4 linked regions of the Saccharomyces cerevisiae S288C genome follow. The gene in region 2 interacts genetically with the main gene of each other region. Each region holds a gene or a part of one and is shown on either strand. Other genes may lie near its edges.

The links.
Region 1: mutations in MKK1 (region 2) and MSB4 together harm fitness more than expected from each alone (negative genetic interaction), as found in Saccharomyces cerevisiae (3 studies listed by BioGRID).
Region 3: mutations in MKK1 (region 2) and YBR287W together harm fitness more than expected from each alone (negative genetic interaction), as found in Saccharomyces cerevisiae (3 studies listed by BioGRID).
Region 4: mutations in MKK1 (region 2) and OCA2 together harm fitness more than expected from each alone (negative genetic interaction), as found in Saccharomyces cerevisiae (2 studies listed by BioGRID).

Annotation. Positions count from the first base shown.
Region 1 is NC_001147.6:104,912-112,881, reverse strand, and holds MSB4 (Rab GTPase-activating protein MSB4), read right to left. Parts: upstream 6,173-7,970; coding exon 4,694-6,172; downstream 1-4,693. Other genes in the region: YOL107W (uncharacterized protein), read right to left, coding at 1-780; INO4 (Ino4p), read left to right, coding at 996-1,451; ZEO1 (Zeo1p), read right to left, coding at 2,244-2,585; SHR5 (Shr5p), read right to left, coding at 2,993-3,706; MDY2 (Mdy2p), read left to right, coding at 3,986-4,624; putative serine/threonine protein kinase SKM1, read right to left, coding at 6,589-7,970. UniProt on the Saccharomyces cerevisiae protein: Regulates exocytosis by functioning as a GAP for SEC4. Also required for efficient polarization of the actin patches.
Region 2 is NC_001147.6:766,837-774,627, reverse strand, and holds MKK1 (mitogen-activated protein kinase kinase MKK1), read right to left. Parts: upstream 2,028-7,791; coding exon 501-2,027; downstream 1-500. Other genes in the region: mitochondrial nucleotide exchange factor MGE1, read right to left, coding at 1-55; WTM1 (transcriptional modulator), read right to left, coding at 2,515-3,828; WTM2 (transcriptional modulator), read right to left, coding at 4,816-6,219; MCP1 (Mcp1p), read left to right, coding at 6,851-7,759. UniProt on the Saccharomyces cerevisiae protein: Involved in a signal transduction pathway that play a role in yeast cell morphogenesis and cell growth.
Region 3 is NC_001134.8:772,903-780,693, reverse strand, and holds YBR287W (uncharacterized protein), read right to left. Parts: upstream 4,124-7,791; coding exon 2,840-4,123; downstream 1-2,839. Other genes in the region: SNF5 (Snf5p), read right to left, coding at 1-1,027; APM3 (Apm3p), read left to right, coding at 1,231-2,682; APE3 (aminopeptidase Y), read right to left, coding at 4,381-5,994; HAB1 (Hab1p), read right to left, coding at 6,338-6,772; YBR284W (metallo-dependent hydrolase superfamily protein), read right to left, coding at 7,062-7,791.
Region 4 is NC_001146.8:515,001-521,878, reverse strand, and holds OCA2 (Oca2p), read right to left. Parts: upstream 4,631-6,878; coding exon 4,037-4,630; downstream 1-4,036. Other genes in the region: YNL054W-A (gag protein), read right to left, coding at 1,101-2,423; porin POR1, read left to right, coding at 3,034-3,885; YNL058C (uncharacterized protein), read left to right, coding at 5,166-6,116. UniProt on the Saccharomyces cerevisiae protein: Required for normal growth in the presence of linoleic acid hydroperoxide (LoaOOH).

The sequences.
Region 1 (7,970 bases), 670 kb from region 2:
ATCGCCGACCAATATTTCCTGACCACCTTGAGAATTAGTTGTTGGCAAAGAGGGACAATTCAAGGGTGCAAGTTTCTGGAAAAACCTCAAGTACGACCAACTGGCAAAAAAGGTAACCCAAATGGAGAACAATTGAGCAAAATGATGAAACCATATTATTTGGGTTACCGTCATTGTAAACATTACAAAAATGGGTAGTAATTTGAACCTAAAGTTTTTGGCCAAAAATTGAGGTGTCTTCAGATGGATTATAGTTGTTTCAGGCAATAACTGTCTATAAATGATAGGGAAACCGATTAAAATTGTGTAGTTCCCGTCTAAGGGAATATCCAGCCTTACCTTATTAGAGAAAAAAGATACTAACAAAGTCAGCATGATGATCAGAACGTTTGTAAGAGAACCTAAAACTATGATAAATTTGAACATTTCTTTGGAAGAGTTCCAATTGCGTTCAATGAAGGATCCACCAATGATCAAATTCAATAAGTTCACTACCACCTTCCAAGCTTTAGTGTCGATGAAGTTGGATAGAACTAATGAGGTGGGGTACCTCCAAATCTGCGAAGGTACCATTTGCAAAAGCGGCGAAGTAATCAAGTTGTAGTCCAAGTTAGGGTCTTCAAGAACTAGCTTGTTGTACAAGGATCTCCTTATACAGAAAAGGGTTGCAGTTAAGCATATATAAGTGACTGTAATAAATTTAGTAGCATCAGGAATCTTATTGATATTTAAAAATGAATCCGGGATATTCAATTCTAGGAACCTCGAACTATATTGCATTATAGTGAACAAATATCTTTGTTATAAATAGATTAGTCGTCTTCTTTTTCTTGGCTTGGTTTGTATGAGCTTGTTACGTATCAAACAAAATATTCACATGTTTTTCTCACCTTAAAGACAGAGGCGCGATTGCGTTTGCGAAATTCCAATGCCAACAAGATAAGCTTGACGAAGGAGTTAAGAGGGCGGCTTGAACTAAAAAGAGAAAAGCAATAATGACGAACGATATTAAGGAGATACAAACAATACAGCCGGGATTGTCCGAGATTAAGGAGATAAAGGGTGAACTGGCTAATGTGAAGAAAAGGAAACGCAGGTCTAAGAAGATTAATAAATTGACTGATGGTCAAATACGTATAAATCATGTTTCGTCTGAAAAAAAAAGGAGAGAATTGGAAAGAGCTATATTTGACGAACTGGTAGCAGTAGTACCTGACCTGCAACCCCAGGAAAGTCGGTCAGAACTAATCATATACCTGAAAAGCTTGAGTTACTTAAGTTGGTTGTATGAAAGGAATGAAAAGCTGAGAAAACAAATCATAGCTAAGCATGAGGCAAAAACCGGCAGCAGCAGCAGCAGCGATCCCGTACAAGAACAAAATGGAAACATTCGGGATTTAGTACCGAAGGAGTTAATTTGGGAGCTGGGTGATGGACAGAGTGGTCAGTGATTCAAGGAGTAGGGTAAAGTAAGTAATATAAGCGAAGAAATTCTTCCCATACCTTTTCTTCACTTTGCAGAGGGGAGTGGTGCATATCCCACAAAGAAAAGTAGCAACAACAATGATATATATACGTTACTACTAATGCTTTCCTTCATCGAAAGTGTGCCGAAGTATTTATTTAATCTTTTAGTGTTCAACTTACTATAATGTGATACTTTTTCAATATTGTTTGCCGTTGAAGCGATAGTGCTTTATGTCATTTTATCTTTCTTTTACATTGTTTTATTTTAGAGCTAAAATTGAACATCAGTTTGCAAGAAGTCAGTTGGTTGGCCTTTGCTATTAAGAGACCATAATGTTATAGTGATTGAGATCAGTTTCACCAACTAATAACAATTAACCCGGGCGGTTAGTGTAGTGGTTATCATCCCACCCTTCCAAGGTGGGGACACGGGTTCGATTCTCGTACCGCTCATATTTTTACTTTCTTATCAAACTTTTTTTCCTCCGGGACGTGAAATAACCGCCGAGGTTATTCTCGGAGCATTCTTTTTTGTGGCTTTTGATCATCCATCATCATCATCATCATCATTATTACTACTACTACTACTACTACTATTATTATTATTATTATTATTATTATTAGTATTATTATTATTATATTGATTAGTTATTAGATAGATACAATTAAGAAAAATTTATGTAAAAGGTCAGAATAAACAGCATTTTTCTCCTCTTTTTTTATTTTTAAAAAAAGAAAAAGAAACTTCTAGTAAAGTGCAGCACATTCAAGTGTGATTAGTTGAAAATGGAAGCAATTTTACGGTTCAATTTCTTCAAGAAACCGCCTTCCTTCTTGGTTTCCTTCTTCTCACTGACGGCGGCGGAAGCTTGCTTCTTAGTTTCTTCAACTTTGTTGGCAGCTTCGGTCTTCTTTTGTTCGACACCATCAGCAATGTTTTGTTCTTCCTTCTTCACCTGTTCAGCTTCTGGAGTAGCTTCATTTTTTAGGTTGTCGATAGAAGCTTCAGCTTGTTCCTTTACTTCTTGGCCCTTGTTTTGCAAAGATTCTTTGGTTTCTTCCAACTTTTGTTGGACATCTTGGGCGGCAGTTTCAGCTTTGTTTTGAATTTCAGACATTATTAATTGATATAAACGTAGTTTTGTATGTTTCTTTGATTTGAACTTTTAAGTATACAGAGAAAAAAACCGATCAAAGAAAACTAAAGTATAATGAGGTTAAAAACGAAAGTAATAAAGTAGAAAGGCTATCAAGCAAACTGAGATGATCTTCGACGTAAAAACTCGCTCTATATATATACGCCATATAAGCCCATCGGCGATGGGGGACAACACGAAGAAACAAGAGAAGAGGAGAACCGCACAGAAAGCAGCAGAAACAGAGCAAACCAGCATTAACTAAAGATGATAAAAATAAAATTAGGTAAGAAACCTTAATTGGATATACAAAAATACACTGGAGGCACAAATCGCCATCGATATAAAACACGATAAAGCCCTGGTGCACCCATAAACCACACGTTTAACTATTTGGGTCGGGGCACGACGAAATCTAGGGATAGGCACCCGGACCGTCGGGGCAATACTAGGCGCACACCGCGCTCGTGAAGCAGACCTCCCGGCGAGTTTAGCTGCGCCACGTACTGCTCTAACGCGAGAGACTCCTGAAACACAGGTCTAGAAAGAAGGGGCCCCAAAACCCAGCTCCACAGACCGCCCGTAAGCATATCGAGCAACAGGCCACTTAAGTTACGCCACCCGAACACCTCACCTTCTTCACGCAGCAAGAATCCGTTTACCCGGTGCACAACCTCCGCGAGCTCTGCCGCACTAAGATATTCTGACAGAGGCGAGACGGAGGAGCAGCCAAACACGTGATCCCCAATGTCGTAACGCCCGCACCGCACAAAGCTAGTGCCATCGTCGCCCACGATTGCCGCCGGCTCGCTACCGGGAAGCTGTGTACTAAATTGTGGCGTTTCAAGGCTGCTGCGAGACTCATCGAACCGCCGGGGCACTCGTACCACCCGGGTCACCTGGAACTCGGCAGAGCCCCGAGCAGCATACACATTCGGGAAATGTGTAATACACAATTTGTGGTCTTCGTCGTGCTCTGTGGGTTTAGCGTCTTCGGAACCGAGGTCTTCGTAGAATGAATACGAAAACTCATGGTAATTAAAAAATAACGCCCTTTCGCTCGTATTTGCGTTATCTTCTTCCTTTTGATGGCTATCGCACATCTAGTAAGGGTTAGATTGAGTATTGTCCTCTAATGTAACTTTTTCCTCTTATTCCTCTCCTCCCCTTAGCTATTATATATCTTTTTTACCGAATCTTGAATTAGGAATAGTTTTAAAATCAGGCCGGAGGCCGAGCTTGCGACAACTACGACCAAAAAAAACAAAGGAAAAACGAAAAGAAGAAAACATGCACAGGAGAACATAGTTGGAGAAAAGGGTTAGAACAGACCGATACAGAGATAAACTAGCGAAGAATAATAACTTTATACAAAATTAATCATGAGCACATCCGCCAGCGGTCCAGAACACGAGTTCGTTAGTAAATTCTTGACCTTAGCCACTTTAACTGAACCGAAGCTACCAAAAAGCTATACTAAACCTCTGAAGGATGTTACCAATTTGGGTGTCCCGTTGCCTACTTTGAAGTATAAATATAAGCAGAATCGTGCCAAGAAGTTAAAACTGCACCAAGATCAGCAAGGTCAAGACAACGCCGCCGTCCACTTAACCTTAAAGAAAATTCAAGCTCCCAAGTTCTCCATCGAGCATGATTTCAGCCCATCAGATACTATCTTACAAATAAAACAGCACTTGATCAGCGAGGAAAAGGCCTCCCACATAAGCGAGATAAAACTGCTTTTGAAGGGCAAAGTCCTCCACGATAACCTGTTCTTATCGGATTTGAAGGTCACGCCTGCCAATTCCACAATCACAGTCATGATTAAGCCGAATCCGACTATATCTAAGGAACCCGAAGCCGAGAAATCCACTAACTCCCCTGCTCCTGCTCCTCCACAGGAACTCACTGTGCCCTGGGATGATATCGAGGCTCTTCTGAAGAACAATTTCGAGAACGATCAGGCTGCGGTTAGGCAAGTCATGGAGCGTCTACAAAAAGGCTGGTCTCTGGCCAAATAAGATTAGTATAGTTAGTACGTACATACTTGTTATTTTACACAGTTGCGCTTTTTATCACGGTTGCGCTTACTATTTTCTTCTTTCCTTTGGGCGGCTACTCGCCCTTTGTCTATTTCTCGCCATCGCCACATACTCTCTACCGCGATCAATCTTTTCCTGGGTAATACCATTCAACGCAACCTTCTTCTTCATCAGGACTTTCTCAAAGATATCATTCGGATTGAGCAATCTTTTTGGGAAATTTTGAATCACTTGCAAAATCTCCATATCTGCCTCTTCCTGCGTCTTAATCTTGTTCTTTAATCTTTTGAAAGTTGAATCAGAGTCATTACTACCACCGAAGGTGTACGAAGAGTACTGTCTAAACAGTTTCTGGCTTTTACTCTCCAAAAACTCGCTTTCGCTCAATTTCAGTATCCCCAAAGCCACTTTAAATAAAAAATGAGACTCTTCATAGAATAAACAGTCCCATATTCTCAGGGTCGTTTCGATGGGCACCACGCCCACAAAACAGCTCATAAACCAACTTGCCGTACACAGCGTCAGCGTAGGCAGCCTGCAGAGATATTCTTCCCCCGATGCTGGCCCTGATATCTGGTCAGTGCTGCCATTGCCATTCATATACGATGACTCAATGTGTGACCATATCTCGGGTAAATATTCCTTGATACATAACACCAACACCCCTTGATCCACGTTCGCACCCTCTAAGTCTGATTCATACACGCCAGGTAAATACTTACCGGTAATAATAACCAGCATCCAAAATGCTTTCTCTTCTTCCATGAACAATAATAGCAATCCAACGAGAAAATTCATCGATTGGCAGTATCCAATAGTCTTGTCATAAACAGAAAAGGCCATTAATACTCGACGCAATGATCGGATGATCGCCGGCTCTCCATTTTGGAAGGACTCCTTATGGAAATGTATATTATCGGGAAACGTTCGATAAAGATCCCGTTCTATAGCTTCCATATCTTTACCAGATACGGCACCCTCGCGACAGTCACTTTTCAGTCTATCATAAACGCCAACATTTGCGTCTAATTGTCGTTGTCCACCAGCAAAATACCACCAGGCATTCCCTCTCCATTCTGCTGGTATACCTTTTCTAACAAATTTTGACAATTCATCTGTCCTTGCAGGATATACTAGAGGATTATCATTGTGGAGCTCAATCTTATTCTTAAGAAGAAAGTTCTCCCACTTTTTTTTTCTTCTTTCGGTGTATCTATTATATTCTGTCCACCATTTGTCGTATTCTTCCTGACTAATGAAATATCCTTTCTTGCTAAATCCATATCTATCAAAATTCTCAGGATCTGCCATGATTAAGCTGGTAAACGCCTTTGCTTTTTCAAGCTCACGTGTTGTCAATATTTCTTTTCGTTCTACTGTAGAACTATCATCCCCTTCATCGTCGTCATCGTATAAATCAAGAACGCTATAATTGGCATCGTCTTCGTTGAATGACGAAACTGTGTCAAAAACACTTTCGTTCGGTACCAAGGCGGCTTCTGTCGACATAGTTGATGACATTATCATCCTGTCATGCCGGGTTTTGCCTTCTGTGATTGTAAAAGTGTGCGAGTCTTCCTCGATTTTGAATTACTTCGGTGCCAAATGTACAAAATACTATCCTAACTTTTCAAAAATAGTTTATTCTTATAAAATCATCCGTAAAATGATTAACTGTCCCCGCTAAAAGCGTTTGTAAGCTCAGTTCATAGATATGTCTTCCATCCGTAAATCCGCCTAACGAATAGCAACACATTCTTTTTCCTTTTACATTTTCTATTGACATAACGCGAAGCAAACGTATCATTGTTGTTTTTTTTCTATAAATAATCAAAAAGAGTAATTGTTTTAGATGAAATAAAAATGCGATTAAAATATGAATCATACATACGTATATACATATATATATATATTGTTTCTCCTAAATAAAAAAAAGCTAAATTTCAATGCCACTTTAAGGATACTTTGAGCTGCTCAGGGCTGCATGCCATTGACAAAAATTCAAACGTTAGTAGTTTTCTCACGGATGCTCTTGATTCGACATTCACTTGCAAACAGGCATCTAAGAATTGTTTGGTTTGCTTGGACACTGACTCTGGATGACGCAATTTTGGTGAACCGTTGTTAGCTATCAGATACAGCGCCTTCAAAGGATCCTCATTTAGGTAAGGCGGTTCACCTTCTATCATCTCAATAAGCATTATCCCTAGAGACCAAACGTCGACTTTTTCATCATATCCCTTTTGATTCACTATTTCAGGTGCCATCCAATATGGAGTACCTACCATTGTGGCACGCTTGCTTCTTTTTTCTGTTAATTCCACACAAAAACCGAAGTCTGTAATTTTCACTAACCCTTGGGAATTCAGAAGGATATTATCAGATTTGATATCTCGATGGATAATTTTCTTGTTATGCAAAAACTTCAAACCTTGGCACGTCTCTTTTACTATATATGCCATTTGGTTTTCGTTTAACGGCGATGAGTGCTCACCGGTATTGCTCCTTGCTACAGCATCCAATATATCTGTTAAGCAGCCACCTTCCATGTACTCCATTATCACCCATAACTCTTCGTCATCAATAATATAGGCTTCAAGGAAATTAACGATATTTTCTTGGCGCGAATCATTCATCACTAGGAGTTCATTCATAATCAATTGTTTCTTTGGTTGTTCAGATAAACGTATCTGCTTAATGGCCACTCTTTCGCCTACGACTCGGTGGCAATGTGATTTCAAGAATCTCGGGTCATTTTCTTGAGGTAATTTTATTCGCTTTGACAGGTATACTGCACCACTTGCTCCTTGACCAGCCTTTTCTACCAGTTGGAAATACGGTCTTGGGTTTACATCAATTGCAACAGTTTTCATCTTCATTATTATTTCATTCGAATCATCATTATTCTTAAGTTCAAGGAGATCCTCCTTATGCCATTTAGTTTTACTATCATGATTTTTTGTAGCAGGTGCAGATGGTGCTAGTCGATGAGGTCTAAATGTTGAATTATTATCATGCCTTCGCAGATGGCTTTGAATGACTTTCTGTTCCTTCTTTCCTAACTGCTTTGTCTGGGAATCTGCCGTGCTTTCTTTACTAACATGCACCCTGCCTTCTTCGCGTACTTTATTGTCCTCTATGTTGGTAAACTTATAATCATCATCACTAGGCCTTGGGAATGGTTTAAGTTCTGATTGATAGACGGGTAAAATGGAATCTGTTTTGCCTTTTCGGAGCGTCCTACTTACTGATCTCTTGATGGAATTAGTCCTCTTGTTTATAATATACCTTGTCGGACTTTTTAAAGGTTTCAAGTCTAAGCTTG
Region 2 (7,791 bases):
GGATGAACGACTTCCTAGTTGTGGCCCTAACGGTGGCTGCTGAAAAAGCTCTCATTTTCAAATATTCAACTTACTCTTCCACAATATGTCCTTGTACTTTGGATCTAAAGCGGCACTTGGAAACTTATTATTGTTTTCAAATGCTTACGGTAATACCACGGTATATTGTTCTGGTTCAGCTGCAGCAGGCGTTATGTATAACTCATGGGAGTTACGTTTGCTTCAAACGTAAACTCGCTGGAAATTGCGTTGCGAGGTATTAAAATATCACTGAATACGTATGCCAAATACAAAGACATGTAAGACATTAAATGCTAATCCTGCTGATTAAATTAATATATCTATATATTCAAATTAAGTTTGTCGTCAAGCTGTATAAAGCCATACATTTTAGTTAGGCTATCCTGGGTATGAATCTTGTATGGAGGAAAATTTTTTTATGGAAAATGCGAAATAAAGTAAAATAAACTTAATCATGTTCGCAAAAAATTGCTTATTGATTAATCTTTCCAGCACTTCCTCACGAATTTTTCCATATTGACATTTTTTTTCATTTGACCCTTTATCCAAGGATGATTGATCATTTGTCTTGGAGATGGCCGTTCACGACTATCTTTTTTCAGACAGTAGTCGATAAAGGATTTGAATGATGGACTCCATATGATATTAGATTCGGGTTCATCCTTTAATTCAGGAGTAAATGTTAAAATCCACATTAACAATTCAAAGGGAGCTATATTGGCTGCCATCTTCTCGGAAGAGCATGGAAATTTCCCGTTCGCCACTTCCAAAATCGTTAATCCAAGTGACCATACATCAGATGTGACACTGTATGGTTGACCTTGAATCCTTTCTGGAGCCATATAGAATGACGTCCCCGTGAATGTTGTGGCTAGCGAGTTAACGGCTTCTCCACTGACCCCAAAATCACAAAGTTTCACCTGACCATTTTCATTCAGTAAAATATTCTGGGGCTTAATATCTCTATGAATAACTTTTTTTTCATGCAAATATGATAGTCCTCTTAGTACCGCTTCTGCAATCTTCCCCAGGACTTTTTCACTGATCCTACCACCACGCTCTAACAAATTTTTATAAATAGCATCCAACGATCGCCCACCCATGTACTCCATAGCAATATAAATTGAAGAGTTTTCGTCATCCGTAAACATTCCATAATATCGTACGATATATTCGGATTGGAAACTCCTATTAAACTGTAATTCTCTGAATATTTGCTTCTGATACTCGGGATCTGTATTTAATGTGTTTATCACTTTTAAAGCGAATATTTTTGATCCATTTTTCAATTTACACTTGGAAACAGAGCCACCGGCTCCTTCTCCTAGAATGCCTAATGTCTCGATCCTATCTTTTAAATTTGCATATTTCCAACCATTTTCATCCAATTGATCAACATCTCGTACACTGTTTAAGTCTATGTACGATTCAGAAGATGATTTAGGCTGGGACGATGACTTGATGGGACTTGAACTTTGTTCATATGCCGATATCAAATTTGAAAAGTCAGATCCCACTGAATTGCTCAGATCATTTCTGAGGTAGGGAGAAGAGGTGTTTGTATGTGAAAAGGGGCTTGCCATCGATGAAGGGGTTAAGTCACTATTACCAGACAACTCATTTTCGGCTATCACACGCTGTTTCAATCCTAAATCATGTTTACCATCAGACACATCGGCGATGGGTACGAGTTCGGGTAGTGTTTTGCACTTAGACTGTGAATTTATGCTGAGCGAAGGTAAAGATGGCGGTGCAGGCCTCTTCTTCATTGTATTTAAAGTCATTGAAGAGTCGCTAGGATGAAGTCGAGTTTGGGAGAAAAGTGTCGATGTGGAAGAGGTCAGTGGTTCTGGGGTGTGGCTACTGTAAGCTGTGGTGGAACTCCCATTCGACGTCAAGTATATATTATTTTCATCTACCTGATTATTTCGTAAGAGGGGCAGTTTAAGTCTAGGAGAGTTTGGGTTGCATTTCGCAGATTCTGGGGGTCTGAACAGTGAAGCCATACTGGGCAAATTGTGCAATGGAAGGATAGAGTTAATTTGGTCTATGTACACTGCGAGAAATACGCAACCATAAATGAAACGCAAGTTATGAAAAACCGGATCCAACCCTACCAGAGACCAACTTTCTTTTTAAATTGTGCCAAATTTTTGCTGCCCTTTAAAATAGAACTTCCTTATTCTGAGCCGTCACACGCCTTAATGATAATCAGTCGATCCGATTTTTCAATTGTCGCAATGACCTGAGAAATATAATTGCTCGTGTATAGTGACTTATTCGCCAGCAGGTGTACGGTATCTTTCATCAGTAGTAAGTATTGTTTAATTAAATATTGAATAATAAATATACTAACAGTAGCTCATACATAACTTTAGGCGCGCACTTTCATCACACAGGGTAAAGAAACCAGCCCTGGGTGAGAAAAACTAATAATAGTTAAAAGCATTAAATATATAAATATGGCCTTGTTCCGCGCGTTTAGCATGGCGACTATTCGCTTTCCTCGGTATAGGGCTTGTAGATGCTGACTAAACTATCGTCATCGACAGTACCAACCAAGTTTTCAATAACTGGATGCCAAGCGGCGGTGTTTCTTCTTCCAATCTGTTTTGGAGATCTTCTGCTTCCACCCTTGTGCAAGAATCTCAGAGATTTTGTTTGTGATTCTTCAGTGGCATCTTGAGGAGGAGCAATGGTATCGTCAGGATTGTACTTTGACAAGGAATAGTCAGTGTTCCAGTGGTAAATATTACCAGTGCCGCCCACAGTAAAGAATTCAGAGCTTGAAGTGGCAGAAAATTGGACGTCGACAACAGAATCACCGCCGGCATGATAGAAGTTAGCGATTTCATTCTGAATTGGATCTTCACCGTTTTGTCTATAAGTCAAATCAGTGGTGGCAGCTTCAGCCGCTCTGGCATCCCATAACTTGATAATACCCGTACTGAAACCGGTAACAAACAAGTTGTTGGAAACCTGAGAGCAATCAAACGAGGTCAATTTTCCGTTCTTTGGTTCTCCCAACACCCATATAGGCTTGTCGGAAGTTCTAGTGTCCCAGAACCTCAGAATATTGTCATCTGAACAAGACGCAAAGATATGATTGTCGAAAAATCTTACGGTGTGAGTCACAGTGGTACCAGGCACATGAACAGTACGTAGAATCTCACCAGGCTTACCGGCATTGTCAATGATTTTCAAAATACTGTCTTCTTCATCACCATTACTCTGAGACTTCACAATGGTTTCGGTATCATTGGAAATGCCGAAGTCAGAGATGGCTAATGAGAAATCCTTTTCAGGTAGATCACCAGGTCTGGTTAAAGAATGGATGCTGGCATAGCTGGTTGCTGGACCCATCAATTCCTGTACAATGTGAATAGGGACCTTTATACCCTCTTTGAACCAAGCCAACGACCCGTTCTTAGACATCGACAATAATGTAGTTTCTCCAGTCTTATCTAAGTAGGCCATTTTGGAGACAGTTTCACCCTGGTACACGAATTTTGGGCTCAACGAGGTGTTTTCAATACCTTCAAAGGCGTCACCATAGTCTTTCACCGGTTCTGAAGCGGCTTCTTGTAGTGGTACAGCGAAGTCAATTTCGTAGATATCACTACCTTGAGAGTATATAACACTTGAGGTTAGAGTGTTATTTTTTTTATCTGGAACAACAACGTTGCTGAACGTCAAGGACTTCCTTTGGTGCAGAACATTGTCCACACGAGACACAAATTTTGGTCTTAAGCTGGAGATATGTTCATAAGTGGAAGGCGTAGATGATTTCCAAACCTTTTTTGGCATTTTTGGTTGTAATGTATAGTGTGTTACAATTTATTTGTATCTTTCAAGATTGGTTGATTAATAATTAATTTTCTTATCTAATATCTACAATTCAGGCGAATATAAACTTTTCGGATCTTCTTTTTTCCCTCCCTTTATACTGGAAGCTACAGAACTGAAAAAAAAAAAAAAAAAACATAGAACATTAAGGGGACAGACTGCATGGAAAAGGAAAAGGTAAAAAAAAGCCCCGAAATGGTACTCTTAAATATGAGATGATAAACGAGGATTCGAAGGAAAATAGCCCAACTATCTACGAGTTGAAATTAAAAGGGAGTAGTGAGCGCCACTATGTGTGCTCACTGTGTATAGCTAAGCAATTACATAAGGGATAGTACATAAACCACCGTATGTTAGGAAAGAGGAAAAAAAGGAAAGACAAAGGTCTTTTGCCTATTGTATGACTTAGCCTTTCTTTGTTATACCCCGGCGCGTTCCAAAAAGGGAAGCCAGCACAGCACCGCATATTGAATACCGCCTTCTCACGTGGTACAGGCACAACTATCTTGCATGTGCCTCTGGGTCTTTCTTAGCGACAGCCTTTTAAGATTCTGAATTGTAAACATCGAGCTTCATCCGAGAAACGAAAGAGGGAATCTTGAAATGGACTATGTCACCATTAGATCCTCCCTCTTCTCCATATAGCCGGTTTTTGTCTTATTTCTTTGCTGGAAAGAAAAAAAAGAAATTGCTTGGTTAATTACTGGTAACCCTCTTTTCTTGAGGCCTTACTTCGTTGGCTTCAGAAATCTGAAAGAGTCTTTATTAGGAGCGATACCAGTATCTATACAACATTATACCATCACTATATATTACAAAAAAAAAAATAACCCCGATAGCGTGCTAGAAATGAATAAAAAAAAAAAAAACAGAATTATGTACGTGAATGCTTGTGAGTTACTGCCTTTCCCATAGGTGGTAACGTTAATTTCTTACTCTTTTTTTTTTTTAATCGTCGTAACCTCTGCCAATGAAGTCACTGGCCAGAAATGGTTTGTAGGCAGTAACAAGACTATCTGAATCAACAGTGCCAACAAAATCATTGATTACGGGGTGTAGCGCCACAGTGTTCCTCTTCCCGAATTGGTTGCTCGATCTTCTTGTGCCACCTGTGTGGAAAAATTTTAAACATTGACCCTGAAGTTCCTCCGGAGCAGCCACTCGAACTTCGTCTTCGTTGTCATCGTCGTTTCTTGAAAAAGAGTACTCCATGTCCCAGTGGTAGACATTACCCGTTCCTCCAACCGTAACAAATTCTGTTGCAGAGGTTTGTGAGAACAGGATATCGACAACGGAATCGCCGCCAGAATGGAACAACTTGGCTATTTCGTTTTGGATCGGTTCCTCGCCGTTCTGCCTATGTGTGAGGTCAGTAGTAGCCAGTTGCACAGCACGCGCATCCCATAGCTTGATGACACCCGTGCTGAACCCAGTGACAAATAGGTTTTCAGTAACTTGAGAGGAATCGAAGGACGTTAGTCGTCCATTTTTCGGTTCGCTTAGCGTCCAAAGCGGTTTGTCCGCTGTTCTTGTGTCCCAGAATCTTAAAATGTTGTCATCTGAACAAGATGCAAATAAATGGTTGTTAAAAAATCTAACTGAGTGAGCCACGTTGGTCCCTGGAACGTGCACTGTACGTAATATATCTCCCGGTCTATCGGAGTTGTCGATGATTTTCAAGATGCTGTCCTCCTCGTAGCCGTTACTTTGTGACTTTACTACCGTATCCATATTTGTCGACACATCAAAATCTGACACTGCTAATGAACCTGGTCTGGTTAGAGAGTGAATACTAGAGTATCTAGTAGCAGGGCCCATCATTTCCTGTACGATATGAACGGGAACCTTGATCTCATCTCTGAACCATGCCAAAGAGCCGTTCTTGGACATCGCGATCGCCGTACTGTCGTCTGAGCTTTCCAAGTATTGCATTTTTGCCACTGTTTCGCCCTGGTAAATCCACTTTGGGCGCAATGGTTTCCCCTCAACATCTTGGAAAGCATCACCATACTCTGGATTTGGGGTGGCTGCAGACTTCGTCTTGCCGTTACCTTCTTCGTCGTCGTCGTCGTTGTCGTCGTCGTCGTCGTCGTCATAGAATGTCTTTAATGGTAAAGTAGTGTCTATTTCGTAAATATCACTACCTTGAGAATATAAAAGACTAGTCGTCAAGGTGCCCTTGGATTTGTCTGGAATAATCTCACTTCTCCATGTCAGTGTCTTGCTAAAATGTAAAACATCGTCGACTCTTGTGCTGAATTGTGGTTTAAAGCTAGAAATGTGTTGGTATAAAGAAGGTGCCGGTTTACGGCGTGCTCCACTCGCACCCTGACTGGATTTGCTTTTCGCCATCCTCTATCCTTTTTAGTTCTTGCTCCCGTCGCTACTAATTGCTCCTTGTCTTATAAGTAAATGTAGCTGTACAGCAGAGATGTTCCATACGTCAGCTAACTAATTGCCTTTAATCTTTTTTTTTTTTATTTTTTTTTTTTTTCAAAAACAATAGAATTGAAGATGTGAGATGGAAAGGGAAATCAAAGTGCCATAAATGGTAAAGGCTTGCATTATGACCCGAATGGGTAAGAATGATCCAATGAGAGTCTGCGGACGCATATGTGCGGAATATGACTTAGCAGTTCGAACCCCGAACGGGGCTAAAAAACCAAAAGGACAAACCTTATGCGGAACATCTACCATCTATTCAAGGGAGTATAGCTTCCGTGTAGACTATAGAAGAAGCGTTCCAGTCAATTCTACTACATCAGTCTTCCGACATCGCTGATTGTATCCTAACCAGGTCCACAACTAAAATTTGTTTTGAAAAGAGTGGCTAGAGAGCGAATACGTGCTCTGTAATTGTGTGAGGCAAGTTGGTCGTCAATTGGAAAATAAGTAAGGAAAACCTTGTGTAGATTGTATTGCTCCTAACAGGTCCCGAATTACTAGGGCATATACCAGTTAGCCCAGAGTTTTGTTTATTACGATGATAAAGTTGCATGAAGTGCCTCCAGAACCAGTAGACCCTGCTAGTCTCCCTCATGATGTTAATGCACATAGCCCCGAAGGAGATGGTAATCCTGATAAGAGGAAAAAAATATTTGGCATTCCGTATCCTTTTTCCAGGAGTTCATGTCGGAGATTCCTTTGGAACTGTCAAAAGATTTCGGTACTGCCCATGGCATTGTATTTCCCACTACATGCAGCAAATACATTAATCACGCCGGCAGTATCACCTGATTCTGCTCCTGACGACGTTTTAATGATGGTGAGAGAGATTTTACCGTCCATAACTACCAAGCTGTTAGTTGCGGGTATTACTCTTCATGTTTCTGCTGGTGTCTTGCTCCGAATCGTGAACAACTGGAACAAGCCAAGAAGAAATAGACATCGACATTTAAAGATATCGGCCGAACAAGATCTATCCCAAGATTCGATTGGTTTAACTGGTGGAATTTCTGGCTATTTATTTGGATTGTATAAGACCTTCCGCATTCCTCCACAAGTGATTAGTGGATACATCCTTGTTCCCGTCCTGATATACCACTTATTAATTATGAAATGGGTGCCGAATTCCATCTCTACTGAGGTGGATTTCGCCTCTATAAAGCAATTACTATCTAGCAAGAACAGGTGGTGGAAATGGCTTGGAGGCCTGGTGCCGTTAGCTATTCTCCTCGAGTCAGGTGTATATCATATAGGTTCGGGGCTCTGCCGTTATTTCGGTGTTAGAAAAATGACTAGCAGGAAAAAATGGTCCACAGCTATCAATCTATTAACACTCGTTGGGTTCGTTTCTCTGATTAGATTGATGAAAGAGGATTCTACGAAACTGGGTCCCAACCAATTCGAAAGCATTTTCAAAAAGATCCGGTTGCTGTTGCACGTGAATTAGGAATCCTTGTGGGAGTAGTGTGAAGCTATTAA
Region 3 (7,791 bases), on a different chromosome or scaffold from region 2:
TAATTTGTTCGTACAACAAAGTATCCGTATCTGCTTTTTTGTCTGACCAATAGGTTGGATATGGTAGCTTGGTTTCTGGTGGATCGTATTGAATAGTTTGGTACTTGGGTAAGTTTAATTTTGGAAGTTGAGGAAGTTGGCCAATAGTTGGCTGAACATTGGTGGGAGGTTGTCCACTCATGGATCTAACTTGAGGAACTTGCTGAGATTGCGGTATTTGTCCTTGCTGCTGCTGCTGCTGCTGCTGCTGTTGTTGTTGTTGTTGCTGTTGTTGTTGCTGCTGCTGTTGCTGTTGCTGTTGCTGCTGTTGCTGTTGTTGTTGTTGTTGTTGCTGATGCTGCTGCTGCTGTTGTTGTTGCTTTTGTTGCTGCTGTTGTATTTGCACATGATGCCTAAACTGTTGTTGCTGTTGTCGCTGTATTTGGTTTCTAAGTTGCTGCTGCTGTTGCTGCTGAACCAGCAATTGCCTCTGCTGTTCTAGCTGAGTTTGTGCCGTTTGCTGTCCCTTTTGCTGCTCAATTTGGCGTTGCACTTGTTGTTGTGCAACAGTAATTGCATTCACAACCTGTGGATTATTTTTTGCTATGGCCTGCTGCCTCAACTTGTTCAAAACTTGTTGCTGTGTAGCCAAAGGTAACTGAGCAATTTGTGGAGGCAAATTAATAGGCGCTGGAGCTAAGGGCACTTGACCAATTTGGGGATGTAAGTTGTGTGGTGCTGGAGGAGGAGGAGGGGTAGAAGTCGCTGATTGATTAGCAATGGGTTGAGATTGTTGCGGAGGAGGGGGTGGAGATTGATGCGTTTGCGGTGGCGGTGAAGTTTGTTGTTGTTGTTGTTGTTGTTGTTGTAGACGACTCCTCAGTAACTGTTGGTGTCGTTGCTGAATCATCTGCAATTGTTGTGGTGTGAGGCTCTGATACAGCTGTTGCGGAATTTGCGCCATGTTAAAAGATGGAGTTCCAATGTTGCTAAATATATTTCCAATACTATTTGGAACGCTGTTGGTACCCTGCGGCTGATTATTCATTGTTGCTTTTGTGTAGTTCTTTACTATATGTTCCCTTGATGATGCTTTGTTTTGGTGTTTATGTTTGAAATTTCAGTTTCTTTTAAATGCGACGAAAAATGAAATTTTTGGTCAAAGAACAAGAAGAGATTTATTTAAAGTTGGCGATAACAGGACTTGGGCAACAACAGAGGCTGTAAACCTTACCAACCCAACCAAAATAGATGTATTTGTCATTCTATATCACTGATACAAAGAACAAACTTATTTTCCAGTATCTTTTAGGTGCAACAGCTCCCTCCTTCAAGCACCTGTGGACCCGCGTTCAGTCCACATGTCCTCAATTGCTCGAAGATAGCAGTAGTGATGATTATTTAGACCATTCAATGGTTGGAAGAGATTTAGAGGTCTATAAGTATTTCTCAGTTATAAATAAGCTCAATTATTGGTGCTTAGCCTCCACTTCGAAGTCAAAAGGCCCGCTTGATTGTTTTACCTTTTTAGAGACTATAGATCGTATCCTGTTAGAATATTTTGACAAGGATAAATTAAGTATCAAGAAAATTGTTAATAATTATGATAGAATCAGTTTGATTTTTAACTGTTGCGTCGAAGCGGGTGAACCAAATGTGAGTGATATGCTCTATGTTAATAAAATTAAAGAAGCTGTTCCTGAAAGATCGGATTTATCGAAGTTCATAAGTTCTACAGCCCATAATTTACAGCAGGCTGTGCAACTCCCACAACAAAGGCAACAGCAGCTACAACAAAATCAGATTTCTCGTGGTAGTAATTCACTAATCGAAAATGAAGAGATTGTTCCCTGGAGAACTTCAAGGGCTAGCAAACATGAGAATAATGAGCTTTATGTGGATTTGTTAGAAACATTCCATGTTGTATTTGAAAAGAAAAAATCACATCTAAGGTTGCTCACTGGAAGTATCCATGGAATAGTGGACGTGAGATCTTATTTGAATGATAATCCTCTAGTTGCAGTAAAATTAAACACTATGGGAAATGATATAGGTATACCCAGTTTGCATGACTGTGTTGAAATCAATGATGGTGTGTTTTCTCCCTCTAATATAACGTTTATACCACCAGATGGGAAGTTCAGATTGCTGGAGTATTCCGTCGATTTAAGTTCTCAAGTAAAGCAATCCGGAGTAAGGATGAATTCTATTGGCTTGATGTCTTTACACTTCCAAAATGGATTGGGTAAAGATTCTGATGAATTTGAGTTATCCTTAAATATTGAAAATTTCAAAAAAGTTTCACAAGTTGATGACCTAAAAATAGATTTACAGTTCAATGTTGAGAATGCTGATCCAAATGAAATAGCATATAAGATAAAAATATTGCGCAATACTCATGGCCGTTTTGAAAATAGCATTATCATGGGTCAAGGACAATGGATTTTTGATAAATCAACTGCCACTGGAACGGTACCTGTACTACGTGGCTGTATTGAGTATGAAAATACTGGGCCAAATTTTACAAAAAAAGTTGATTTACAAACAGTCTCCTTAGAATATTCTTACATAGGACAATCGGCCAGTGGAATCTATGTAGAAGCCATCGATATTGTATCTGGATTAACAATTGGCAAAAATACAAAGCTGTACAAGGGTGCAAAGTATAAGACCCAGACAGGCAATTTTCAAGTAAGGCTGTAGTTATATGTGTACTTGAAATTCCATGCGAAACTAAATAGAATATAATGAGAATATAAGTCTTGGAATAAAAAAGGAATATAAAACTATGCTAAAAAAAAAAAAAAATGAATAAGACTTTCATTCATGAAGACTCTATACAAAGGAATGAAAAGTTGTATTAAGTTGGGTTAGCCCACTGTAAAACGTAAATTGCACCTGAGACAACAATAATACTTACAGGCAAACTTAAGACAGCGTACCCCCAAAATAGAATATCGGCCATTTCTGCCTCGAAAAATTCATTCAGTTGAGTGATTTGAGTTAATTGAATGGCAGGAGGGGAAACAGTCAAAAGAAAACCGACAACAAGGAAAATTGGATCGTCCAAAATACTCACGTTTATGTACTTAACAGCAATAGCAATAATAGGCAAAAGGAAGCAAGAAGGTAAAATCATTCTTCCGATGATGGAGCCGATCAATAACTTGCTATGGTGAACCGTCTTAGGGAAGACTTCCGCAGAAGGATATAAGTTAGAACCGAGGACAACCAGGATCAGTGGGATAGAAACTGAACCCAGCTGCGTAACAGCCTCGGCAAATGTGTTATTGATAAACCCATCTTCCATAAATAGCTCTCTCTGCAACGGACCAATTGCTGCCACAACAACAGCAAAAATCATGGAATATAACGGAGGATTAAGGTTCGCTCTGATTCTCTCAAATACAGTGCATGATTTTTGCCAAATCTTATCACCGATGGAACTCGAACTCAAAAAAGATGAGTTCATTCTGTTATTTTCTTCTTCAAGCAATTCTTGTTCCTCTTGTTCCTCATTGACAAGTTCCTCGTTATCAATGTTGGGCGTCCTTTCCAACAAAGATTGCACTTGAGAAGGTGGCATATGCTGAGTGTTCTCTCCAGACCACTTCATTAGCTTATTGTAACCCCAGCTCCACCTCAGCATTTGTCCGATTTGTTGAAAGATCAGCAAGTATAAAATACCCCTTGATGCAACGTTATCTCTGTTATCATTAGGAATTTGGTCCCAAGTTAAGTTGGGCAGAGTGTAAGCCAAAGATAATGTCAAGGACACAGGTAGAGAGTTACTGTTACCAAAGACAGAGTTTGCCACCACAAAATTAGTTTCATCTTTATCCAAGTCTAGGATACGGCTCATTATCTTTCCGGAAATAAATGAAATACCAGTAGTCAAACCAAAAAAAATAGGAATGATGGCTATTTCAAAGATTTTGGCCATGGACAGGGATTTGGCCAACTTACTAAAAATAAGACATGGTGTAAAAAGGTCCACGTTCAACAGAGAAATGATTTTTTGACTTTGTTTGGGCAGCAGACCAGAACTAGCGCTCCAAAAACCAGCGAGTGCGATAATGACTACCTGTAAAACGGACTCAAAGACCAAATAAGCCAAATGAGCAAAACTAAATGTTTCAACCATATAGTAGAAATGCAGAGTAATCTATGAGGGTATGGTTAGTTGGGAATAACAAACCAAAAACGGGCTTCACACATATTGTTCAATTTACAATAATTTCCTGTTTAAACTTTTATATCACAATTTCAGTTTTTTTTTCTACCTTTTTTTCACTTTGATAAGGAGGCTGTGATCCCCTTGATGCACGTGCAGTTAAAAAAAAGAGGGTTTTTATTTTCTTTTAGATAATTATACAGAAATACTTGATGTGAACAGTACACTTAAATAATCAAGAAGTCGGCCCTGTACTTAAATTGTGGTTGTTGAGCATTCAATATGTCCACCTCTTTGTGCTTTTGGGTTTCTCTTTTTGGGAAACCCTCGAAAGAGTCAGCATAGGTGGCCACAGAGTGAGCAATCAACTTGGTGTTGGTAATGAATGCGTCCCAGGATAAGTTAGAGACATCATCACATAATTGATGGTAGCATCTGTCTAAGACCTTTCCGTTGTTGACGTTATTCTTTTCGGCACCAGTGGCAATACCACCGGCTGGAATTCCGTTGTTGATAAACCCGACATAATCGGATCTACCGTCAAATGGGACCAAAGTGTAGTTCAAGTGATGAGCCTTGTAGTAGTCTACGTACAGGTTTTTCAACTCTTCAGACCCCTTAGGGTTCTCCTTGTTGTTCGCATCATAAATTTCGTATTCATAGTTTGGAGAAGCCATCATGTCATAGTCCATAAATACTCTGATCTTGGAGTTTTCTTCTTTGGTCAAGTTATAAGCGTAGAAGTTAGAGCCTAGCAAACCTTCTTCTTCAGCAGCCCACCATGCAAAACGGACCTTGTTATTGATCTTGAAATGGGTCAATTGCTTAGCGACGTTCAATAGGGAAATAGTACCGGAACCATCGTCGTTGATACCTGGGCCCTCCTCAACAGAGTCTGAATGAGCACCAAGGGCAACAATATTATCAGGATCACCGTGTTTTGTGTCGGCAATGATGTTCTGGGTCTTGATAAATTCTACATAAGAGTCCATGGCAAAATATAATGAATAATCGATGTTCAATGCAATATTGGCAATCAATTTTTTACCAACTTTATATGGAACACCGACGGTGGCGACAGTGTGCTTGGTAGGTTCGCCTAATGTACCGTGTAGTCCTTCTTTAGATTTAGGTTCGTTGTCGTAAATGACCACAGCGGTGAAACCGAACTTACCGGCCAAATTACTCTTATCGCCAAAAGGACACTTACCTCTTTCGATAAGGGCAATTTGCTTTTCGTTGTGTCTTGGTGGGACTACAGAGGCGTAATCCTTCTCTTCACATCCCAAGTTAGGAATTTCGACTAGCTTACCTACGAACCCGTCCACAGGTGGAGAAAGTGCGAAAGCTGTAGTGTTAGCAAAGCTTTTACCGGTTTCGGCGTCAGAGAGGTTGAAAGAGATGATCTTACCGGATAAAGCTTCGAACTCTTGCAAAGAAACATCATAGTAGTCCTGCATGTCATCGAAAACATTCAATATGTATTCCATAGTCTTGTTATGACCCTTGGACCCGATCACACGGGTAGGGTGACCGTAGTCAGGAGTAGAATAGTTAGCTAAACGGTAGAGGTCCCAAGCAGTAGCATTCAAATCGTCAACTTTGATTTTATCTTGCAATTTTTCACTTTCTACATGTGGTTTCATGAAGTAAGGAATATGTGGCTTCGGAATGTTGGCAGCAACGGCAGAGCTATCATCGTCGTTTAATTGCGGAAGATAATTCTCAATTGGCTCTTCTTGTTGAAAGGCTTCCTGGAAGAATTGAGGAATGACATAGGCAGAGCCTAAATTGGTAGCGTAAAACGCAGCGACAGCCAATTGCTTCAAAGAAAAGTGCATGGTTGGCGTTTCTGTTTTTTTTTTTTTTTTGGCTTCTTCTACCAATTGTTGAAAGGCTGAACATGGTTTTGTTCCCATCCATTGTTCCTCGCTTTTATATTGAAAAAAGAAAAATTTTCCTAAGGACCCCTTCTTCCTGAGGGTTAATTTAAGGGAATTCAAAGTGTGTCAATAGTAATTAATAGAACTAATCAATATATTCAGTATAACTTTTATTATTAATAGTATATGATATTACTTTTTGAACTATATATTTATGGAAGCACAAAAACATAGAGAACACTCTTTCTGACGATAAGAAAGGTGATTATATCAAGATATATAATGAAGCAGCTCAATTGTCTTATTTCTTGTATCTCAAGTAGCTCCTTCTAGTGCTACACTTTAGTATTCTGCTTTGTTTATCATCGAACCTATCAAATTCCACGGAATCCTCTGGTGAATATGTGTTCTGGTGCCGTGTTGAGTTATCGTTATCCAATTTGTGTTCATTGGCGACAAGGCCCTTTTTCAGCTCATTCAAATCTATGCAATGATTATTAACGCCTTTCTTATCAATGGCAACCTTACCCAAATTGTTTCTGTTTCTAGTCAGGATTGTAGCCATTTCTCTATCTGAAATGTCCGCCTCCATGCTATCGTCAGTGGGGCTTTCTAAGGATTTTATGTTTATGAAACCATTGTTTTCATTGCAATAGATTATTTCAATGGGGGAAGGCTCTTGCTTTTTAAAGGAGAATAGACTATCAAAATATGAGAACCTAGAAAATATGGTCATTGTCAACTATAAGCGAGCTTAGAGATTTCGAATTGTTATGTTATAAATGGAGTGATAAGACTCTTGTTTGAGGCTTGGGCTTTTTGATTTATATTAAATTAAGATATGTAAAAAAAAAAATAAATTAAAAAACGTGTGTTCTATTTACAGTATCTACTTACTTATTTGTTTATATATTCCATTAGTTTACTTATCTTTATCCTTAACCTTTTTTTTTTGTGTGTGTGGGGAAGGGCGGTACATAATATTAGCGTCACAATATGCGCCCCTCGAAGAAACATGAGCGAATTCACGCAATTATGAGTCGCCACTCCCCTGCGAGAGTGCTACTGCGATATTGACGTCTGATGATCGGAACGTTATGCTCTAAACTTGTATTTGGTTTACAATCATACCACTTGTCTACAAACCCAGTGTTTTCCACGAAGTAGTCATGGCTGGCTAAGGAAACGCCGAGCCATTTGTTCTTTAGGGTACTTGAAAATCCACTGGTTATGACACTGTTTCTTAGAAGTTCGCATAAATCTGCTGAATGTAAACGGTATATACTAGCCGCTACACTATACTCTTCTATAATGGGTTCTTTCGTATACGAATTGTTGTAGAGGATAGATTCTGAGCTCAGCGATATCTTGAACCCCATTTCAAAAAACTTCATGAAAGGGTTCTTCTTATAAGGCTTTGAGGGCTCTAGGACAAGCCCCGTCGGGGCTTGTTCTTGCAGCATTGTAGGCTTTGAATCTACTATGGAATTCAAAGGCGCCACAACCATGGGAATTTGACTTAGATAGAAAAGATACACCAGTGATGGTGGTGCATTCCAGAGATTTTCTGCATTTAGAAACCCTCCACAGGCGAGCAAGAAATTGTTTAAAATAGCTTCCGTATGTTCTGTGAAGTTCAGTGTATTACTAAACTGTGAAGTTCGATTCATTGAGGTGGGAGAACATGAACTTCTCAAAGTGAAGGTATTTTGATGAAGGGCTTGGCGGATATGGTTCAATTTTGTTAGGTTGACG
Region 4 (6,878 bases), on a different chromosome or scaffold from region 2:
TTCTCACAATAGTAGAAAATTCGATTGCAGAGAACCATAAATGGTTCGGTAAACCACTACATTGCAGTTGAGTACGGCAGTCATCTAATAAGGTACGGTTGAGCCGTTCAGCGACTCCATGTGCTCGGGAATCCGCTGTGGTTGTATAGCATGGAGTTATACCATTTTTTTCAAGGAATTTATGGAGAGTTCTGTTAGTATACTCAGAACCACGGTCCATTTGTATAACCAAGACACTGGCCTGAAACTGGTTCTTAATAAAAGCTAGTATCGTAGTAAAAACATCGAGGATAGAGTCCTCGCGACGGTCGTGTAATGGATAAACCCAACGGAATTTTGTTGTCTCATCAGTAAATGAGATGAAATAGGATGGTGCACTCTTTGGTAGGTTGTGAACTGGACCAAATATGTCAGTATGTAGGTATTGAAAGGGTTCGTATGAATTTTGGTATTTTAGTCGTGAACCTTTGATATGTCTGTGTTTGGTGCTTTTGCCGATTAAACAATCAGGACATTGATAGTCAATAGCACTAGACCAGTCGACATCTGATTCGTTAAAATACGTGATGGTGTTATTTTTAAGTGAGTATCGAATTGTCTGTGCATTGGCATGCGCAAGCATTCGATGAATGAAAGGATAAGGATATTTGCGTGTACTTTCACTTGTATGGACATTATTGATGGTGGGTACGGAGATATTTGATGGAAGCAAGTACTTTTTAGATACCCAGTAAAAGTCTCCATATTTTACGATAGGTGCAAGTACAGTGCCGTCAGATCGTTCTAAGACGTTTTTGGTAAAGCATGCTGTGATATCTACTGCAGCCAATTCATTCAAACTGAGTAAGTCATAGGCTATGTTAGGAGTGTGCAATACCTTTATTGATGTTTTGGTGTTGTCCTGGAAGTGAAATTGTAGGTCACCAATAGCGTTAATTGGTATATTTCTTTTTTGAGCATCAACTACGTTTATGTCAGGATTAGATGATGCTGAGTGTATGTGATGAGCAGATCTTATAAGGGTTCGTGATGCTCCTGAATCGAGAAGGAGGTGTCCAGGGAGTTCATCATCAGAATGATTAGTATGATTTACTGTAGATTCAGTAAGTTTCTGGCCTAAGATGAAGGTCGTGCTTATTGTTCAATTGAATCGGTTCAGTAGTTGATTTACTGATGGAATCGTTGTCCGTGCTGGGAGAGTTATTAGATGTGGATACATTGTGAGCCCTGGCTGTTTTCGATTTCGAATTATTTGTTTTTTGAGGATTCCGAGCTATAACTTTGGGTTTGGTTGTATTTGTATAGCTGCGAGAATCATTCTTCTCATCACTCGGATTTCTCCTGTAATTAGGTTTGCTGTTTCTCGATCCCTGTTGTTCTTCATAAATAGCATGGATATCTAAGAACAGTTCAGCGACTGTCATATTTAGATGTCGATGACGTGTGTAGCGTAAAAATTTATATTCGCCAGATAGACCTCTCATAATTAATTGGCATGCGACCTTGTTATTGATATGAATGCCATTATTGTTCAGTCTGTCGATAATGTTTGTGACTTTTGTTTCAAATGCATCTGCAGGTGTACTGCCATTATATTGCAAATTTGCCAGGGTCACAATGTCGTTTGCCTCTTGGGTATCAGATTGCATTTTTTCAATACTTTTGGAAAGAATTTTCATGATATCCGTATAATCAACGGATAGGATGTCTTTGACCCAGGTAGGTAGGAATTGAGATGGAGCAAATATTTGAAAAGTGTTATACAAGAAGGTGAGTTCATCATCAGTGATCTGACGTACGGGTTTTCCGTTTACTGTCGGAATAATACCACCGAGATTCGAGTTTTGTAAAAATTTGATGTATGTTTTAACCCAATTTAGAAAGTCATTAGGTGAGGTTAACATTGGTGGTGGTCTGACATATTTTTTAGTGGATGTCATATCAGAGTCCGCTGAGGATGAATCAGTAAATGTATTACCTGACTCAGGTGATGGAGTGCTCAGAGGCGTTCCAACTGATGATGGATACTGCGGAAACTGTGAATGTGGCCCAGGTGGAAAGTACATAGGCGACATTTGATAAGGTGTATACGGAATCATAGATGGGCGTCCGTAAAATGACCAATCAGATGGATTGGCTTGGTTTTGGGTCATCATGCACTGCTGTGGGTACGGCCCATTCTGTGGTGAATGTGACTGAGCAGTTTGAGGAGAGGCATGATGGGGGTTCTCTGGAACAGCTGATGAAGCAGGTGTTGTTGTCTGTTGAGAGTTAGCCTTAGTGGAAGCCTTATCATATTCTTGAATTTTGGAAGCTGAAACGTCTAACGGATCTTGATTTGTGTGGACTTCCTTAGAAGTAACCGAAGCACAGGCGCTACCATGAGAAATGGGTGAATGTTGAGATAATTGTTGGGATTCCATTGTTGATAAAGGCTATAATATTAGGTATACAGAATATACTAGAAGTTCTCCTCGAGGATTTAGGAATCCATAAAAGGAAATCTGTAATTCTACACAATTCTATAAATATTATTATCATCGTTTTATATGTTAATATTCATTGATCCTATTACATTATCAATCCTTGCGTTTCAGCTTCCACTAATTTAGATGACTATTTCTCATCATTTGCGTCATCTTCTAACACCGTATATGATAATATACTAGTAACGTAAATACTAGTTAGTAGATGATAGTTGATTTTTATTCCAACAAGTTTAATGGTCAGAATGGGCGCTTGTCGCGTGCCAGATCGGGGTTCAATTCCCCGTCGCGGAGATTTTTTGCCGCACGTTTCCGCGTCAGACGAGCTTTTTTCACGGTTCCGGTGCTTTTTGCCGGCTGCGGCCCAATCAAACACCGCCATTTCGGCCGTTCCTCAACAAAGAACCCCTTTTATAGCCAGCAGAGCACGAGTTGATCTACTATATAACTACCCCCAACTCGTTCCACTACTCATTAGTGCTACGGATTCTCCCAACACGAAACAGCCAAGCGTACCCAAAGCAAAAATCAAACCAACCTCTCAACAATGTCTCCTCCAGTTTACAGCGATATCTCCAGAAATATCAATGACCTATTGAACAAGGATTTCTATCATGCTACCCCAGCTGCCTTTGATGTGCAAACAACAACCGCCAATGGCATTAAGTTCTCATTGAAGGCTAAACAGCCTGTCAAAGACGGTCCACTGTCTACTAACGTGGAAGCAAAGTTGAATGACAAGCAAACCGGCTTGGGTCTAACTCAAGGCTGGTCTAACACAAACAACTTGCAAACCAAATTAGAGTTTGCCAACTTGACCCCTGGTCTAAAGAACGAATTGATCACTTCTTTGACTCCAGGCGTCGCCAAGTCCGCCGTCTTAAACACTACGTTCACACAACCTTTCTTCACCGCAAGAGGTGCCTTTGACTTGTGTTTGAAGTCACCAACATTTGTTGGTGACTTAACTATGGCCCACGAAGGTATTGTTGGTGGCGCAGAGTTTGGTTACGATATCAGCGCCGGTTCCATTTCTCGTTATGCCATGGCTTTAAGTTATTTCGCCAAAGACTACTCCTTGGGCGCTACATTGAACAACGAGCAAATAACTACCGTTGACTTCTTCCAAAACGTCAACGCCTTTTTACAGGTCGGTGCTAAGGCTACAATGAACTGCAAACTACCTAACTCCAATGTCAACATCGAATTCGCCACTAGATATTTGCCTGATGCATCTTCCCAAGTTAAGGCTAAGGTGTCCGATTCCGGTATTGTCACTTTGGCTTACAAGCAATTGTTAAGACCTGGCGTCACTCTGGGTGTCGGTTCCTCTTTCGATGCTTTGAAGTTGTCTGAACCTGTTCACAAGCTAGGTTGGTCTTTGTCCTTCGACGCTTGAACGTATATATCTAATATATATATGTTCACTATATACCATATATGTGCTCGTTCTTGTTTCCATTTTTCTACTTGATCTTTAGACTTGTTGTTTTATTTATACAAATATATTAATGACAGAAAATATTCTTTGTAACGGCTGGTTCTCATAATCATATTGGTTGCTTGGCAGTGAGAATAGACTCACTTCCTGACTCATCATCACTTCCTTCCGCAGCCTCTAGCTCATTCAAATACAAGCAGTGTTTAGCAAAGCCAGGGATAACGTTTCTCGGTATTTTCAGATTGGTTTCGAACATTGTGATAAACTCCAAATCTACTCCATCTTTCATCCCACCAGAAAATAACCCGTACTCTTGGCATATACCTGCAGTGGACCATCCCTGTAACAACTTTCTTATGATTCCCACAACTACACCAACACGGTGCTTGCCCTTATTGGAATGCACTAAGATGGGATAGTTTCTGACATCCAGCACCAAGTGCAAGACCTGGTTCATTCTTTCTTGAATTCCTTCATCGCGGCTTGAATCCATAAATATGTGATAGTATTTTATCTTTTCTGACTCCAGGAAGCTTTGATATTCTTCGAGAGGCCTATCTTTATCGCCAATATATATTATGGTCTTCAAGTGTAACTGATGCTTGATGAAACTATAATTTAACGGCATCGGGTATCCCGATCGATATAACGATACATCCGTGCTCACCACTGGCGAAAAATTTAATGGGGGTATGTATTTCATAGCATCAAGAAACGTGCACTCTATTGGTATTTTGCCTTCACTTGTTGATATATCAACTAGACTTTAATATCTTAAGTAAACTCTCGCTTTTTTCTGATCTTTTTTTTAATTCTGGAAAATTCAGAAGAAAAAACAAAAATTACTGAAAAATCTGGGCTAGCACCAAGAGCTATTCATGGATGAATCACTAAATGAAAAAGGGTCTTTACTTTGCATGCTACCACTCACATGAATAGTATAGGGGAACCTGGTGACAGCCTCCCTTCTCACTTTCTGCCGATTTCCAATGATCACTCTGCAGAATTCTTTCATGAAACCCTTAATATGATTTCCTAAAGCGGGAAATAGTAAACATATCATAAAACATTTGTAAAAAAAAAAAATGTATAATTAGAAATTACTAGATTTTCAATTATATTTAGCAGCTATATGGGTTAATAATTTATAATGTTTATTAATAACATACCCACACTCTTGTATTATAATCAACTAGACTCATACCTTGTCAAAAGTTCAGAAAGAAACATCGGCAGAGATGGTTAAGAAAAACTTTATCCCGTCTGTATCGCTGGTCAGAAGAGACCTTCCTACTTTAGTTACTACTACAACTAGTTCAACCGCCCTGTCAAAGCCCACGTCAAGTGTAGTGTCCGAAACGAGTTCCAAGTCCCTTCCATCGTTAACATCTTCGGCTTTCTCAACTTCCAGTGGAGCAACATCCTCCTCATCACTAATTGTCGCAAGTATAACACCCCCATCTACAGCAGGAAACCCATTTATTTTAAATGCTGCTGATAAACCAAATGGAACTGTATACATTGCTGTGGGTGCTGTCATAGGTGCCATTTTTATCAGTATTCTTATATGGTGGTTAGTGTCCAGTTATTTGTCTCGTCGTTTCACAATGACAAATTCTTATGCAAATGATAGTAAAAATTTGTACAGGGGACACCACAAGCATAGTTCTTCTTTACAAAGCAATCCCTTTGACATCAATGATGAGAAATCATATATGCAGGATGATTGGGATTCTATGAGCCAATTAGAATCTAGCCAATACGAGGATGCTGCCTCACCATTCAACCCAATTCAGGATCCGTTCACAGACAACAGAAGATCCTTATTTATATCTCCTACTTTACAAGTGTCACAATATGAAAAAAGTCATAGCCGCCATCAATCAAAAGACACTAACATTTTTATTGACGATCCATTTTTATACGTAGGTACCTATCTAGAAGAAGAAGAAGAAGAAGAAGAAGAGAGAAAGCTGAACCTCAATAGACCACAAAGAGCAGCGTCACCTGAAAGAAAGGAAAAGAAAATTAACTCAATGGAAGGCTACCATAAGAGAAACCAATCCTCCTTGGGCCTCATACCAGTCGCTTCTGCTACCTCAAATACTAGCTCTCCTAAAAAGGCTCATAAAAGACAGGCGCCATCGATGTTTTTGGATGATGTCCTGAATGGTAGAGAAATAATCTAGATACCCTGACATCTAAGATACATGGTTGTTCAGGTTAAACATTTTTTTTTTTAGTCCTTAAAAATTGTGTAATTCAGTACCAAAAAAATCGATGTTTGCTTTTATTCTTTTCAAGGCCATACGGTTCTAACGCACCAGTAATCATCAGTACATCTGCCAAGATATATCTTTATCATATTCTTGAAAGGCCCGAAAATAACCCTCCAAGAGATAAAAAATTTTTCTGAATGGTAATTGGAAAGATAAAATTCTGTTGTGATCTTTGAACTACTTTATCTGATCTGGTCGTAACCATCAACAAGGCGAATTATGCATTCTTTGTTAAATATATACATGTGATCTTTCCGTACATATCTTTCCGATCCTCATGAAACACCGACACAGCTGCTACCAAAATGTGTGCAGGTATCTACAAAATTCTAACCACAAGTACTGAGTTAAAGAAGGAGCTAAGCAATCATGATCCGCGTATAAATATTAAACACTTTTGCCTTGAAGTGCTGTCTTCATAAATGGAAGGTGACAATATAGAAGGGTCTTGACCGATGTAATTTTCAGCAAGTAACAAAACTCACAATGAACAGTTTGCTAAGAGCAATGACAATCATCGAAAGAAGTTCTTGGCTTAGTGCGACTTACATCGTTGTAAATTCTCAACTATAATTAGCGTTTAGCATTTATCTCGTTTCGTAGACTATGATACATCATTACAACGCTTATGAAATACTCACTTTGGGAAGAATATAATAATCAATATAAGCA